2 linked regions of the Notamacropus eugenii genome follow. The protein of the gene in region 1 binds, or shares a complex with, the protein of each later gene. Links are inferred from orthologs where the notes say so. Each region holds a gene or a part of one and is shown on either strand. Other genes may lie near its edges.

Region 1 (8,270 bases):
TCAAAGTAAAGGAGGAGAGATAAACCACAATAAAGGAGATATCCACAAAAGAAGCAAGAAACCATTTAAAAAAAAAAAAGACCCAACAGTAAGAGGAAAAGGGAAAAGGAGAGAGATAAAGAGCAAGGAAGAAAACAAAATATACACAAAGGTCAAGAATGAAAGACATAAAATTCAAGGAAAAAACTTAGAGAAGTAGAGAAAGAATGAAGGGAGACAAGAGCAAAGGAAAGGGGCAAACACTAATGTACAAATGGATAGGAGGCAGGGAGAGAGACAAATAGAAGGATAAAGTATATTAGATGGGAAGGAAAAAGTAAAATAGGAACAGAAAGATGAGGACTGAGGGAGTTAATATTCAAAGTTGGGCATATATAAAGCTTTTAAAAAGGTTTACAAAGTTCACTGTATCATTTGATCAAATAGTTAGTGGTAAACTACTTTTTTTCATACCTTGTTGTTAATTTGACCTTCTGATTGAGCTGTCATTATACTTTGAAAAGCTGATTTAAGCACAGTTCACAACTCTTTCACAGCTCTCATCCTCACTTTGCCACTCAGAGACACCAAAAGAAATTATCCAAATCATCTGGAGGATGATCTCAGAGGACCTAATGACCAGGGTGGAGTAAGGGGGTGGGAGATTAACATTACCACAAGCTAAAGCTCTCATACAGGCTTCCATTTCACAATGTGTTTCTACTGCATTGTCTATCCCCAAGGATTCCAAAATGTAACATCAAAATTACCTTCAACTTTGGTCTCCAAGGGTGACAGACACTACTAAAAAGGAATGAAAAATGAACTGGAGTAGTGTGTCTTGTGGGTTAGAATACTAGTTTAGAAATTTACAAGGAACTTTTATCACCACTACCCTGTAAAGAAGGTAGTACAAGGATTTCAATCGCCATCATAAAGTACAGAAAACTGAGGTTCAAGTAAGTGACCAGCCCAAGGACTGACAAGTGAGATAGGGCTCCTTCCACTCCAGAGTCCTGTCGTTTCACTAACTTCTATTACATTTCAGGCTTCAGATTGGACTTCATGGCTACCTTTCTGACTCTTAGATTCTGTGACAGCATGTTGGGCCACAGTTTCCTCATATTCAAAATGTACAGATCAGTCAAATGCTCTGACTTCCAAATGAGCACCATTACTTTAAGAGCAGAAAACACTAGGAGTTAAAACTTAGAAGCAACAGTACACTACACAGTACAATACAAAAGGCACATCTGGTGAGTTTCTGCTTCTACCCACTAAATTTCAAGATTTTTTTTGGTCAGTTTTCAGAAGAGTTTTGAGAATGGAAAATGAAGAAGTCATTCCCGGATATCAACTACAAGTGTGGATTAAAGCTGGAAGGGACCTCAGAACTCATCTATTACCAACCTCCTCATTTTACAGACAGGGACATGAAGGTCCAGAGATGGGACTTTGGGCAATCACTTTAAAAAATAATTAACAAAGCAGGAATCCAAACAGAAGCTCTCTAACTACAAATTCAGGATTCTTGCCATCACTCGACAGCATAAAACACAGTAATAGGTTTAGGAGAGAAACTGGACTGACCCCTGAGGACTGATTATTTCAGTAAAACAAAAAAAGCCCAGATGTCAAACTCACACAGAACTGTTGAGTAAAGTCACTTAAGGGAATTTGCTACCTGGAATTGGCTAAGCTCTATGGCTCCACATATGATGACAAATGGTGCTAGATATTAAACTAGAAACTGCTACTGGAGACACACTCTTAAAAACAGAAATTGGTGACATTCTACCCAAAACACCCGCTATAAAACAGAAGCCTTTCTGACACTCACTTTTGATTTGTCAGATAGCGGTCCCAGCCCCGAATAATATTGCCATACATCTGGGTGTCTTCCAAGTAGCTCCCTTCAAAAGCATAGATCTGTCTCTCCAAGTTTGCCAGCGTCTCCTGGTGGACACACACAAAAAAAGCACAGGGATGCTACTACCTTTCAAGTTGGAATATTCAGTCTGACCAAAAGGAGATTTAGTCAACAGGTTTAAAACGGAGGCTCTTGCCTCACAATAATTCACACCTGACAGCACCTTTTCAGTACATTTCCACGGAATTCTTACCCTCCATTGAGTAGGTGATGTATGATTATACCCAAACTATTTATTACACAATCATCACTTTGGCTTTGGGAGGCAAAGTTAGGATTTGGGGTAAATTGAACCCTTGCTGTTTCTGAGTTACACTAATACTGCTTTTGACACCTAGAGGAGCAGGCTGACTGCTACCAAAAGGGAATTTCACTCAGGTTGGTAAAAAGTTCTTGTAAGAGCAGCATAAGCTTTGGAAGGGCCTTCCATCCATAAGGCTCAGAAAGCCTTTTAAGGGTCAGGATCCCTTTTCCATTAGCAAGAGCCAGAAAACGTCACTGGATTCCTTGTGGCTACAGTAACCAACATTTGCTGCTCCAGGTGAGAATGGCCCACCACCAGCCCCATGCAAGGTTCTGTTCAAGGGTGACTTTGCTTTGCTTCTGTCCTCCCCTTACCAAATAACCCTACATTCCCCCAACCCTATTATCCCTCCCACACCATCCTCTCCCTTCCCCCAAATACCTCCCAATTCCAAGTCTTTTCCACACCTACCTCCTCCCCACCCCCCACCAGAGGCACTCCTGGGAGAGTACCCAGTCCCACCTCCCTCCCCCTCCATCCCGCCGCCTAAAGTCCCAATTCCCCAGCTGTCCCATCCCAGGAACACCTCCTCAGAAGGCCCCTTCACTTTCTTTCCCCATGTGCTTCCCTACAGAGCATCCCTGGGCCTCAGTTTCCCCAGCTGTCAAATGGAGAGGTGGGACTAGCTCTAAATCTATGAAGCCAGAAACCCACCCTGCTTCCGCTGTGTTCCCCTCCCCCATCCGCCCCGCCCCCGCCCCGCCCATCCCGCTGCTCAGCCCCGCCTCCGCCCCCGCGGCTCGCGCCCGGCAGTCCCCGGGGGCGCGTGGGGGCGCGGGCCCGTGGAGGCGGGCGCGAGCGCGGCTGGGCCCCGGGGCGCGAGGCTGGGCCCCCCGGGCCGCGGGGAGCGGGAAGCGGAAGCGGAGGAAGGGGCGCCGTGCGCCGGGCTCGCAGAGAAGCCCAGGGCCCGCGCCGCTGCCGCCGGCGTAACGGCCGCCAGGAAGCCGGGCCGGGCCGGACCCCCGCCCCGAGGTGCTCCCGGGCTGGGCGAGGAAGACCCGAGCGCCTTCCTCCTCCTCCCTCCTGCCCTCTCACCGCCAGCTCCTGCTTGCGCTTCACCAGCTCGGCCAGTTCCCGCCGGGTGTCCGGGATCTGCGGCGGCGCCGCCTTGTTGTGCATCGCCATGTTGGGCCGAGGCGCGAGGAAGGAGGCAGAGAGAGAGCGAGCGGGGTGGGGAGGGAGCGAGCGAGGGAGGCGGCCCCGCCGCGCCCCCGCCCCTCGGCCGCCAGGGGGCGCCGCCGCCACTGCGCCTGCGCGCGGGCGTCCCAGGCGGGTGGGGGAGGAGGCAGGCCGTGGAGAGCAGAGAGGAAATCAAGGGAGGGGGAGAGAGGAAGTGGAAAGAGAGAGAGAGGAAATAAAGGGAGAGAGAAGAGGAAATAGAAGGAAGGGAACAGAAAAGAGAGTAGAGAGGAAATGGAGGGAGAGGAGAGAGAGATAAGTAGAGAGAGGAGGAGAAAATGGAGAAGGGGAGAGAGAATAGAGGGAATGAGGGAGAGAGAAGAGGAGAAGGAAAGGGACAGAGAGAGGAAGAGGAGTGGGATGGAGGAGAGAAGGGAAGGGAAAAGAGAAGAGATCGTGGGGGGAGAAGGGAAGGAGAGAGAAGAGAGGAGATGGAGGGAGGAGGGAGGGAGAGATTTTGAGAGCTCTGCCCTCTGGCCCAGCTGAGGCCGTGGGGGCAGAACAGCAGGACCTCGGACAACCGCTGCCTTATTTGGCCAGGGAGGAAACCAGACACAGAGAAGGGAAGGGAGGTGAGCTCGACCAGTACTGGTCAGGAGCTGCCAAGCGCAAGAATGCAAGTTTCGTGAGTTGTCTTTAAGTCCCAGACTTCTCCAAGATACACCAGTGAATCTGCGATCTCGTCGTCTAGGAGTTCCCTCCACCAGTGGACATCCTGACGCATCCTAGCCAGCCTGTCCAGCACCATTCTCGACTTAACCCTCCCAAAGTGTGTCACAAGTTGTTGAAGGCCTTTCCTGCTCTCTCCCAACCTGGAGAAGCTACTAGTGCACAGTCCATCTTCTCCTTCTGTCGTACATCTCTGATGATAGCCTTTACTCCTGTTTTTACACTTGGTTCTATGTGGCAGCCTGCTTGCCCCAACCACAGACCTTTCCATTGTCCTCTCTGTGATGCTCATTTTGAATTTTTCAGAAGCAATGAGGGAAGGGGGACGCTGACCAGTGAGAGCTGTTTCCTCAAAGCACAGCAGTGCCCTCTGCCTGCTGCCACACCTGCCTTGGGAAGTGTGTGAGGATGAGTAATGGAGGACCCTGCTCTCCACCTCAGAGCATGCACAGCACAGTTATTCTAATTATTTCCAGTTCACTAAACACATGGACTTTTGATTGGCTGCTGAACCAGAACTGGGACTGTAAATAAAAAACTATTGAGAAGGCAACTCAGCCCTTTTTCCTTCCCTGGCATCCAGAGAGGTGTTACCAATCTCCAGGGCCACAGACCCCCTCTCACCAGGAGCCAGTCTGAAGCACATGGCCCTATTGTTTCCGAAAGAGGAAGTACCAGTAACCTACTTTCTCCACTATAGCCACATGAAGCCATGTTGCTTCCATTGTGTCTTTATTTTAATGCTGTATAGTGAAGGAATATTGGAGGTAGAAAAACCTGGTAAGATTATAAAAGCTTCAGGAACAGAGGCTCAGTGGCGGAGTCCATAGTTAAAGCTGACAAAACTCCAACACTGCCATAGAGAATCTTGAGGAGCTAGAAGGCCACATGTGGCCTTGAGGCTGCAGGTTCCCCACCCCTGATCTAAGACAACTCAAAAAGACTCATGATGAAAAATGCTATCCACATCCAGAGAAAGGACTATGGAGTCTGAAAACAGATTAAAGCAGACTATTTTCTCTCTTTCTTATGGTTTTCCCCTTTTGTTCTGATTCTTCTTTGACAACGTGACTAATGTGGAAATATGTTGAATATAATTGTATACATATAGTCTATATCAAATTGCTTGACATCTTGGGGAGGGGGGAACATAAGGAGCTCAAAATCTTATAAAAGTGAATGTTAAAAACAAATAAATTTTTAAAAAGAACTTTGACAGATTATATGTCTCTAAAGCAGGGGTTATTAATCTAGAATCTGTGAACTTTTAGATAAACATTTTTGATAAAAAAAAAAAAATGACCAACAGAGCCCAGACTAGCAGTAGGTGATACCCTAGTAACAGAAGCACTGAATGAGGTCCTACAAGCAAGGCATGGACTGTGTCCATTTGCTGTACCTCATTCAGACGAGAAGTTGGCAGAGTAAATGCTATGTAGCAACTGCTTTAAAATGGTGCCCCCTAAGCCCCAGGGACTGAGGTGGTATAGAGGACAGTATGCCCTGAGGTGCTCAGGGAGAATAGTTTATACTTCTATTCTTGTTATATCCTCTCAGTAAATATCCCTTTCTAAAAGCAAATTTAATGTTAATTGTTTAAATGATCCTAGAGCCCTAGTATCTAAGGTGAATTTCCTAGGGGAAAGACTAACTGTAATAGCTATTGCCATTGGGGAGAACATACCAGGTTGGGGATTCAAGCTGAAGGAATCAAAAGAAACCTCCCTGCCCTTGAGAACCCAACTCATCAGTGCTGGTGGGACCTGGTCTAAGGACCCCAGCTTTTATAGACTATATTTGTAAAGAAAAGATGGACATTTGTTGTCATGAGGAGCTTGATTGGAGGAAGGGGTCAGTAAAAGTGCTTCGCATTTTCTTGAAAGCAATCCAACCCATCCTCCTTTTCAACCCTTGGTCTAGCTCATTGTCCATCTATATTGTCTTCAGTTGGACAAGATCTGTCATAAGTCTGTTGACATATTCTCAGTCACTTTTGGGGGAATCAATTAGGTGTGAGTTTTTAGTTGTTGGTTTTTCCCCGCAGCCCTTTGGTACCCTCGTTTAGATAACCTCATGAATCAGTCCCTCATTACCTCACGATTGTGTCACCTCCAACATGGATCTTGTCTATACATACTTGATCCAATTCAACTCTTTTTCCCATCTTTGTTCTTTAGTGCCAATTCTACTTCTGTCAGTCCCTTAGAGACTGATATTAGGGCCTAAGTGTGGTGGTTCCACTAGCCTTGATAGAGAAAACCGTTTCTTGTAATAATTTTGGAAAATCTTTTCAAATACTCTTCTCTTTATAGTTCACTTTCTGTTTTCATCCTTGGGTTCTTTTAGGATGACTGCACAGTTGGATATTTTGCCTGACTTTCTTTAGACTGATTTTGTCTCTGCTTTATGAGATAATACTGCTCAAATATCCAGCATCCTTCTTTGTAAGATTTTCCAGAAGAGTTTGGTATCCTAACCTCATATTTCACTGAAAAAAACAAGTGATTTTCTCCTTTCCTCATCTCAAATCATTCAGATACCTTGCACTACTATTTCTTCCATCACTCTGTCTCACATGAAGAAGTGACCCTATATCTCTTCTGTATTTCATAGCTGAATTCTTTGAAAAAAGGCCATGTACCACCAGAAACTCCACTTCCTTTCCTTTCACTCTTAACTCTTTACAGTACAGCTTCTGGTCTCATCATTCAATTGAAACTGCTCCCCAAAGTTACCAATGATTTAATTGCCAGATCTAATGAATTCCCACCAGTCCTCATCATTTTTGACTTCTGCAGCCTTTTACACTAATGATCTCCCTCCTTTCCTTGATATGCCTTTCTCTTCTCTCTAGGTTTTCATGACATTGCTCTCCTATTTCTCCTCATACCTGTCTGACCTCTTCTTGGTTTCCTTTGCTGAATCTTCCATCTATATGTTGATCCTGGTAACCATAAGTTTCACCAAAGTTTCCATCCCCAATTCTCTTCCCCCTCTCTACTTTTACACTTGCTGATCTTATCCATGTTTTTAATGATCACCTCTGTAGAAATGATTCTTAGATCTCTTTGTTCAGCTCTAACCTCTCTGCTGACTTCCAGTCTTGCATCTCCAACTGCCTATTGGATATCTTGAACTAGATGTCCTGTAGCCATCTGAAATTCAACATGTCCAAAACAACTCATCTTTCCACTCAAATCTTCCCCTTTTTAGTTCTTAGTTTATTGTCAAGGGTAGCACCATTTCCCCCACCCAGGTTCAAAACCTAGGTATCATCCTCAAAACCTTGTACTCTCTCACTCCCCATATTCCATCAGTTGCCAACACCTGTCATTTCTACCTTGGCAATATCTTTTGTATACGTTCCCTCTCTTCTCTGACATTGCCACCACCTCGGTGCAGGCCCTCATCACCTTTTGTGTGGTTTATAGCAATTGCTTGCTGGTTGCTCTCCCTGCCCCAATTCTCTCCCCAGTCTATTCCATCCTCCATTCAGCTGTCAAAATTATTTTCCTAAAGCCTAGGTCTGACCTTGTCACATACCTATAAACTCCAGTGACTCCCTTTTAACCCCAGGATTAAATATAAAATTCTCTGTTTATTGACTTATACAGCCTTTCCAAACCCAGCCCCTTTCTGTCTTTCCAGTCTTGTTATACCTTACTCCCCTCCATATATGCTGATCCAGCAGCACCAGCCTCCTTGCTATTCTGAGGATACAGTGGCAAAGCAGATGGATTTTACACTCCATTTCCCAGTCCCAGGCATTTTTACTGGTTGTCCCCCATGCCTGGAATTCTCTCGCTCCTTCTCCATACCTCCTGACTTTCTTCAAGTCTTAGCTAAAATCCCACCTTTTGCAGTAATCTTTAATTTTAGTGCCTTCACTCGGAGATCATCTCCAGTTTGTCCTGTATATATCTTGTTTATACATAGTTGTTTGCATGTGGCCCCTCCATTAGATAATGAGTTTCCTGATAGCTGGGAGTATTTTTTTCTTGCCTTTCTTTGTATTGCCAGCACCTAGTACAATACCTGGTATATATTGTGTGCTTAATAAATGTTTATCAACATGATTTTATTAGCCTGGTGTCGCTGTCATCTCTCTCTGGCAAGAAAGTCAAATAGTTACTGACTAATGTGCTCTTTGTACTGTTTTGTTCTTGTTGTAGTAGTTAATTTTCATTGAGTGAGCTTTTGGATGAAATT
Region 2 (7,940 bases), on another chromosome or scaffold:
ACACCGTACAGATCTCAACAGGAACTGCTTTTTCCCTCCACCCTGGAAACTCTTTGGTGTCGCCCGGACCTCTTTGGCCACGCCTTCGGGCTGCACCACACCTAAAGAAAAAAGGGGGCGTGAGAAGTCTCCTGCCAAGCGAATCCCAACCCCTGCCAGAGACTTGTTTATCGTCCAACTCCGGAGCTCCGCACTGGGTGTCTAGGGGGAAAAAAAAAAAAAAAAAAAAAAAAAAATATCCAGGGCCCGCGCATGCGCCCGTTCTCCCTACTTCGCCCGCGTTCCAGCCTACACTTTCGGTGGGCGGGAGCAGAAGGAGGACGAGGCCAATCTGGACAAGTCACGAGGTCACATGATGCTGCCCTCACAAGCCCCAGTAAATCCCCGGAGGCTCTGGAGGGTGGGGAGGAGAAGCCGAACTCGCTTGGACTTCCTACCCTATGGTGGCCTGGATGGGTCACTTGGGGTGTGCAGCTGGAGAGTGGGCTAGGAATCAAAGGGTTCAGTAAGTATCCAGTTAGTGAAAAGGAACCGATGGAGGAAAAAACCCTTTGCAAGGGAATTCATAACAAGTTTAGGAACTTGGAGCTAGGTCACAGGTCAAGTTCCAAGAGCCCCGCCTCCGAGATCTACGTGGGGCCCTCCCTCCTGATGTTCCTCAGGATCATCTTCCCGCGTATTCATTCATTCGCGACACGTTTATTAGACTCATTCCGAAGCTGTCAGGCCTCTCCCACAAGCTTCGGAACACACCCGATCACATACTGGCCAAGCAAAGCTTCTGAATGAGTGCAGATCGCCGGGGTCAGAAGGCCGTGGTCAGTGGGTCCTATCACAGGTCATCTAACCCCATCCAAAAGCCATCACGCAGCTCCTGTTCTCAGCCAAGAGTTCTTGTAGGTTCAAAGGAAAATAGGCACAAGACAGAGAGTTCGCTGACATTTCCATCCTGTCGTCTTTGTCCATTCGGTTCCAACAAAGTCTGCCAGAAGTATTGTGGAAATTTGGAGAAGGGAGAAGATCTTTTCTTCCCTATATTCATTTACCCCACGATTATATAAGCTTACCTTGGCAGTATGCTTTCTAGAGATGTACATATTGATCATGAGATTGGAGCTCGCGTTGCCAGAACTTTGCTCAGTGTTTGGGAGGCTCCCAAGGAAAGAGTGGGAAAGAAAAGATATTAGACTATCAAACTGAAGGTCTACAGACTGATTGTGCTGACCTCACGGTTCTATGCTTGTGAAACATGGACACTTTACCAGCTCCATGGCAGGAAACTGAATCGCTTCCATTTGAATTGTCTTAGGAAGATTCTGAAGATCACCTGGCAGGATAAGGTACTGGACCCTGAGGTCCTTCCTAAGACTAAACTGCCAAGCTCTACTGCAGAGTGAAAGTTCAACAGACTGATCACATTGTTCAATTACCAAATGTACACTTGCCTAAAAGACTGTTTTATGGAGAACTCACACAGGGCAAGTATTCACATGGTGGTCTGAAGAAACAGTACAATGTCTTTCCTAAGAACTTTGGAATTGCCAAAAGACTAATGAAAAACGCTATCCATATCCAGAGAAAGAACTACAGTCTGAATGCAGTTCAAAGCATACTATTTTTTCTTCTTTTTTGTTCATTTTTGTTCATGGTTTTTCCCTTTTGTTCTGATTCTTCTTTCACAAAATGACTAGTGCGGAAATATGTGTAAGATGATTGTATATGTATCAGATGGTATGTTGTCTTGGAGAGGAGAGAGGGGAGAGAGAGGAAATTTAGAACTCAAAATCTTATAAAAGTGAATGTTGAAAACTAAAAATTAATTTAAAAAACCAACCAAACAAAAAAAGAACTTTGGAATTGATTGTGTGACATGGGAGACACTGGCACAGGACCACCCAGCATGGTGTGCGCACATCAGAAAGTGTGCTGTGCTCTATGAGCAAAGCAAAATTGAAATTACTAAAAAAAAAAAAAAAATGCAAGATGTGTATTTACACATTTACAGAATCCACCCCAAATATTCACATAGAATATTTGTGTCCGATCTGTATTAGAACAATTCGAGCTTGAGTGGGTCTGATCAGCCACAGTTAGAGGCATTGTAACCTGACTCTAACATAGTGATGTCATTTTGGTCTTGGAGAAGGAAGGACAACAACCAACCAATATGCACCAAATGAACTTTGCTATCTCTTACGCCTAGGAGAAGTCAGGAACTATAGTAATTGCTCCTTGCTGCCATCTACTGGACTTTTTGGTTTTGTTTGTTTGTTTTGGTTTCCCCCCAAATAATGGGTTGCCCATACCAAGCTTTGCAAAGGAGGGAAGAGGGAGGGTAGTTTGGTATATTGGAAAAATTACTGAATTTAGATTCAGACAGGGGACTTGAGTTATGGTCCTGGCTGGACTAGCTTTAACTAAATTATTTAAATTTTCTGTTCTTGTTAGATTATGCCCGATTCTTCGTGACCCCTTTTAGGGTTTACTTGGCAAAGATGCTGGAGTGGCTTGCCATTTCCAGCTCATTTGACAGATGAGGAAACTGAGGCCAACAGGGTTAAGTGACTTGCCCAGGGTCACACAAACTAGTAAGTGTCTGAAGCCAAATTTGAACTCAGGAAGATGAGTCTTCCTGACTTGAAGCCCTATGTTCTACCCACTGTACCACCAGCTGTCCATAACCTTTCCAGGGTTCTGCTATTTCACCTATAAAAGGAGAGGACTGGATATGATCCTGTGAGCTGGTACGAGAGTAGGAGATTTTGAAAACAGATTCTACATGCCTATGAAAATTCTCACAGAGAAAATAATACTGCCCAAGGAGGCTAGGGTTTCTTTCATATAGTGAGTCACTTCTACAATCAGCAGATATGAGAATAAAACTGAGATTAAATTAAAGTTGGACATATCTCCATGACTCTAACCAAAGTGGAATCCAGCCATATGAAGGAAACTCATCACCCTCAGCAATACCTCTGGATCCAGAAGAGAGTGGGATTTGAATGACAAAAACCGCCTCTGTCTACCAGTTTCTTTCTGGCCTAGGAAATTTAATTTTCTCTCCATGTATTAGAAAAGGAATCAGAGTAAAGAGTAATTATATATTCATAACTAAACAAGAGAGGTCAGGGAATGGGCAAGGACATAATGAAGGATTCCTCCTTCTCAATCTTGACTCATGCAGGGGCAGTATGCTCTTCAGGCAAGGCAGCCCCCCCACCCTCTTCTCTGCAACGTTCTGTTTGAGTCATATCCCTGATCTTCCCTAGCAACATTCCTGGCATAGCACATGAGGACACAGGATGATGTGGCAGGGTGTGGGGGAAAGGGTAGGGCAGATTGGTTTTGCACTCCTTAGGAAGTAGGAAAAGGAGCTAATCTCCATTTCCACTAGAAAAGGGAAAATGGCATGATACCTCTAAAAAGAATCATAGAAATAATCCCGTATATATGAGAGACAGTTTGGCATTGTTGATTGATCTCCAAAACATATTGGATTAAGAACAGGTGGAAGGGATGGAGGAGAGGCAAGAAGCTTAGGAATCTTTTTTTCCCCTCAATTATGTTTTTAAAAATTACAAAGTTGAAGTAAATTTACAGGAAAAATATAGCATTAAACTCTAACCTAGTTATCCCATACAGGTTGGACTAGTTTGCCCACTGTGATATCTTTTCCAGCTCTAAATCTCTGCAATTCTGTGAAATTATCTTTTGATCTTTATACATCCGAATAAGGGTCAGACTCCACTGATTTACCTCACCCAATTAAAAGTAACTGCTTTTTTTTTTTTTTTAAGGTAAGAACACGTCTTGATTGAATCAATCAGGCAGAATCAAGTCTGAACAGGGACTACTTACTTCATGCTGGTCTATCCACAGACACTACAGTATAAGCTGCTGTATTGTTACTCGAATATTTCTAGTAAATTGAATTTTGCCTAAATAATAAAGAGGCTATGGGTTAACTACATGTGTATATATAATATATGCCTGCATGTTAATTACTGAATATATTAACATTATATTATATATGTATATGTACATGTACATATATGTATATATGAAGTTAGACAAATAGTCCAATCTCTATCTCAATGTTAGGAATTTTTTTACTTAGGAGCTTGAAGCAATTGTGACTGAATTTATAACTTTTCATCTGAAATATTCTCCCTAAAGCTGAAGAGAAGAAAAATCATAGGGACCTTGCATGCCCTCCGAGGCTTAAAAGAAGCTAGTTATTGTAATACTGTGTTATATATACACGTGCATGTGTTTTTATATATGCTGTACACATACATCTATGTGTATATATACATAGCAAACCTTAAAGTGCTACGTACAAATGCTATCTTCATCATCATTTCCAGAGGAATTATAATGAACATAAAAGATCTCAAAGAGCCTTGTACAATAATGATAATAATGGTTGACTTTTATATATAGGTCTTATTATGTCAGGCACCGTGCCAAGCGCTTTAAAATATTATCTTGATTTCCACACCAGGCGTATGACAGGTGCCATTTTCATGCCCATGTTCTATATCTGTAGCATTATTTTACATAAGCATTTCCTCGTTTCGACCTCGTCCCCACATCACTTTTAACAGCTTTGTTGACAAACCCTGCTTTGGCAGACGTCTGCGCCTTGTGCTAGAGCCCCAGCCTGGGGATGAGAAGCCTTTCTGACACTGATTCGCTGGGTGACCGTTTCTGTTCTTTTAAAAGAGGCTGAATGACACACTCTTCCAACTCTAATGCCACCACCCAAAAACGGATTGAACCCAGACCCAGTGCCTCTCACGTCCTAGTTTACTGGAAATTGCTGAGAGCTTGAGGGGCGGGGAGAGGAGAAGTAGGCGGCCCTAGAGGGAAGGGGGCGGAGCTGTCGAGGCTCCGTGCCAGGAGGCCGGGCTACGGAGAGGGAGGGGTGGAGGAGCAGGGCGGGGCCGCTCCGGAGCTCGGCTCTATCCTCAGCTCGGCGCTCGGCTGCTTCTGCCTGTAACGATTTCTCCTTTCCGGCGGCGACGCTAGGCAGGCGGAAAGCACCGAGCGCCGAGCGAGCTCGGGTCCGCCGCCGGTGACGGCTGGAGCCGGAGGAGGGATGAGCTTGGCTGGGGGCCGAGCACCCCGGAAGACCGCTGGGAACCGATTGTCTGGGCTCTTGGAGGCAGAGGAGGAAGATGAATTCTACCAGACCACTTATGGGGGGTTCACAGAGGCAAGAGCTGGGCCCAGGGAGGGGGCGGGGCTGCGCGAAGGGGTCTGAAAAAGGGCCGGGGGAGGGGGAGGGGGATCGGAGAGTGGCGAGCAGGGGGGAGGGGCTCCCCTCGGCCTTCGCCCTCCGCTGCCCCTGCCTGGGACAGCTGTCGGGAGAGGAGGCCCAGGCCGGTATTTCTGGATCCTTCCCCGGCCGGGGCATCAGGCATCCGCTAGGCCTGGGTTCCAGTGCAGCCTCTGACATTCATCAGCCGTGTGGCCCTGAGCAAGTGACTTCCCTCCCGCCTGCCTCAGTTTCCTCATCTGTCCGCAGTGGGGATGATGATGACGACACCAATAGCCAGCGTTTATGGAGTGCTTTATAAGTATTATTTCATAATAGCACTTACCTCCCAGGGTTGTTGGGGGAATAAATGAAAGAATATTTGGAAGGCGCTTCATGCTAGCCGTAATGATCATCATCCTCTATTCCGTTAGAAATTACAGTAAATTTTAAAGATTGCCAAACACCATATAACTAGGATTACAAGGGCTGCCATTTATGCTTATTATGTGCCAGGAGGTTCCAGTGATTGTGTTTTTGGTGGAGGAGGCACTCAGGGTTAAGTGACTTGCCCAGGGTCACACAGATATAGTAAGTGCCTGAGGGCAGATTTGAACTCAGATCCTCTGGACTCCAGGACCAGTGCTCTCTCCCCTGCACCACCTGCCTGACCCAGACCCAGATGACTCTGAAGGATAAAGTGAGGCTGGTGATTTTGCACAGCCCTTCCTCACTTAAATCCAATTAACTTGTGCATCATGACATCACCTTCCTGATGTCATGGAGAAGGAAGGACAAACAACTATGTGCCAGATCCTTCATTAAGTCCAACACAGTCCTATGAGATAGGTGCTGTTACCATCCTCATTTATAGATGAGGTAACTGAAAACTGAGGCTCCAAGAGATCAAATAATCATAAGCATTTATGAAGCACTTTACAAGTATACTCTTATTTTATCCCCACAACAACCATATTTACAGATGGGAAACCTGAAACCTGAAACACAGAGAGGGTAAGTATCTGAGGTCAGATTTGACCTTAGGTCTTGGTGACTTCAAGTTGCGCTGCATAGTTCCTTTACAGATTTGATTCTGAGTCATAGCACTAATAAAGGTCTGAAGTGAGATTCAATCTTTGGGTCTTTTGGACTACAGGGGTAGTGTTCTTATCCGTGAGGAGATTGAGAAGGGTCCCTAAGCAGTTTGGAGGTTATTTAAACAATCAGTTTGTGAACACTAGGGAAGTGATGAGCAGAGTGAACATATAATTACATGCGAACAAGTGATGGTAATTACCAAGAACAAGAGGCAGTTGGTGGCTCAGTTGGTAGAGCACTGGACTTGGAGTCAGGGAGACGAATTCAAATCCAACCTCGCACACTAGCTGTGTGATCCTGGGCAAGTCCCTTGGCCTCTGCCTCAGATTCCCCAACAACTTCCCCTGGTTCTTGTGAAGATGAAGTGAGGTAACATTTGTAAAGTGCTTACTTAACACAGCTGCTGGTACATAGTAGCATGATATAAACGCTAGGCTAGCAATTGTTATTATTATGCCAGACTGACTTCATTTCTTAGGATCATAAATTTAGAGTTGGATGGGGCAAATAAATTTAGAGCTGTAAAGGTCATGTGGTCTAGCCTTTTTATAGTATGTATAAGGAAAAGCAGGTCCAGAAAGTTGTGATTTACTCAGGGTTACATAAGTAGTAAGCAAAAAAGTCTGGATTTAAATTGAGGTCATCTGACTCCAAGCTTGGTGTTCTTTGCATTCCATGTTTGGTTTGTTCTTTTTTTAAAGAGGTTGTCAAGGGAATGCTTTAGCCATAGTGAACCCAGATTTCTGTAAAGGGTATAACAGTTCTTTATGAGATCTTTATATACAGATGAAGAGAGCTCCATGATAGCATAGTTAAGCGGAAATCTAGATGGAGCCTTTTATCCAAAAAATGTTGGGTTAATAGATCTCCTCACCTGGGGCTCTGTCTTCTGTTTCTTGCTGTTCTATAGTTTTCATCAAAGATGGGGATGAAGGCACAGATATACCTTATTTATAGAATTTGTAAATAACCCTAAGCTAAGAGAAAGTTTTGGATGAGATACTTAGGCTTCAAAATTTTTGGCCTATTGATGTATCATGAAATTTAATAGACATAAATGTAAAATACAGCTCCAGGGTTAAAAACTTAAACTGTATGGGTACAGAATGGAATGGTTCACATGAAACAGCAGTTCGTCTTAAAACAGATCCCGAAGATTTAGAGGAATCATAGAGTTGGCCAGGGATCTCAAGAGTTCATCTAGTCCAACCTGTGCCCAAATAGGAATCCCCTCCACAGTGTTCCTGACAAGTGCTTTACTCAGCCTTCTGACTGAATGCTTCCATTGATGGGGAACTCATCACATACAGCACATTCCTGTTCTAGGATAGTGCCAATGGTTAGGAGATATTTCTTTACATTTAATATTAATCTGCTTTTCTGTTTGTTGCATTCTTTGCTCCCATTCCTCTCCTCTGGGACAAAGCCAAACAAATAATCCTTTTCAACAAATACTCCTTTTCCACATGAGAGCCTTTCAGGTACTTGAGGGCAGTTACCACATCCTCCCTTAGTTTTCTCTAGACTAAACATCCTATCTCCTTCATCTGATTGATGTATAGAGTGTGTTTTTCATTCTCGT

The links. The genes of interacting proteins can lie anywhere in the genome.
Region 2: MEAF6 (region 1) and VPS72 share a complex: the UniProt entries of both Homo sapiens proteins name them as parts of the nuA4 histone acetyltransferase complex. The link is inferred for Notamacropus eugenii from reciprocal best matches to the Homo sapiens genes MEAF6 and VPS72.

What each region holds. Positions count from the first base shown.
Region 1 is NC_092876.1:81,762,756-81,771,025, reverse strand, and holds the start of MEAF6 (chromatin modification-related protein MEAF6), read right to left. Parts: upstream 3,453-8,270; 5' UTR 3,339-3,452; coding exon 3,249-3,338; intron 1,936-3,248; coding exon 1,820-1,935; intron 1-1,819.
Region 2 is NC_092873.1:305,027,736-305,035,675, reverse strand, and holds the start of VPS72 (vacuolar protein sorting-associated protein 72 homolog), read left to right. Parts: upstream 1-4,895; 5' UTR 4,896-5,101; coding exon 5,102-5,218; intron 5,219-7,940. UniProt on the Homo sapiens protein: Deposition-and-exchange histone chaperone specific for H2AZ1, specifically chaperones H2AZ1 and deposits it into nucleosomes.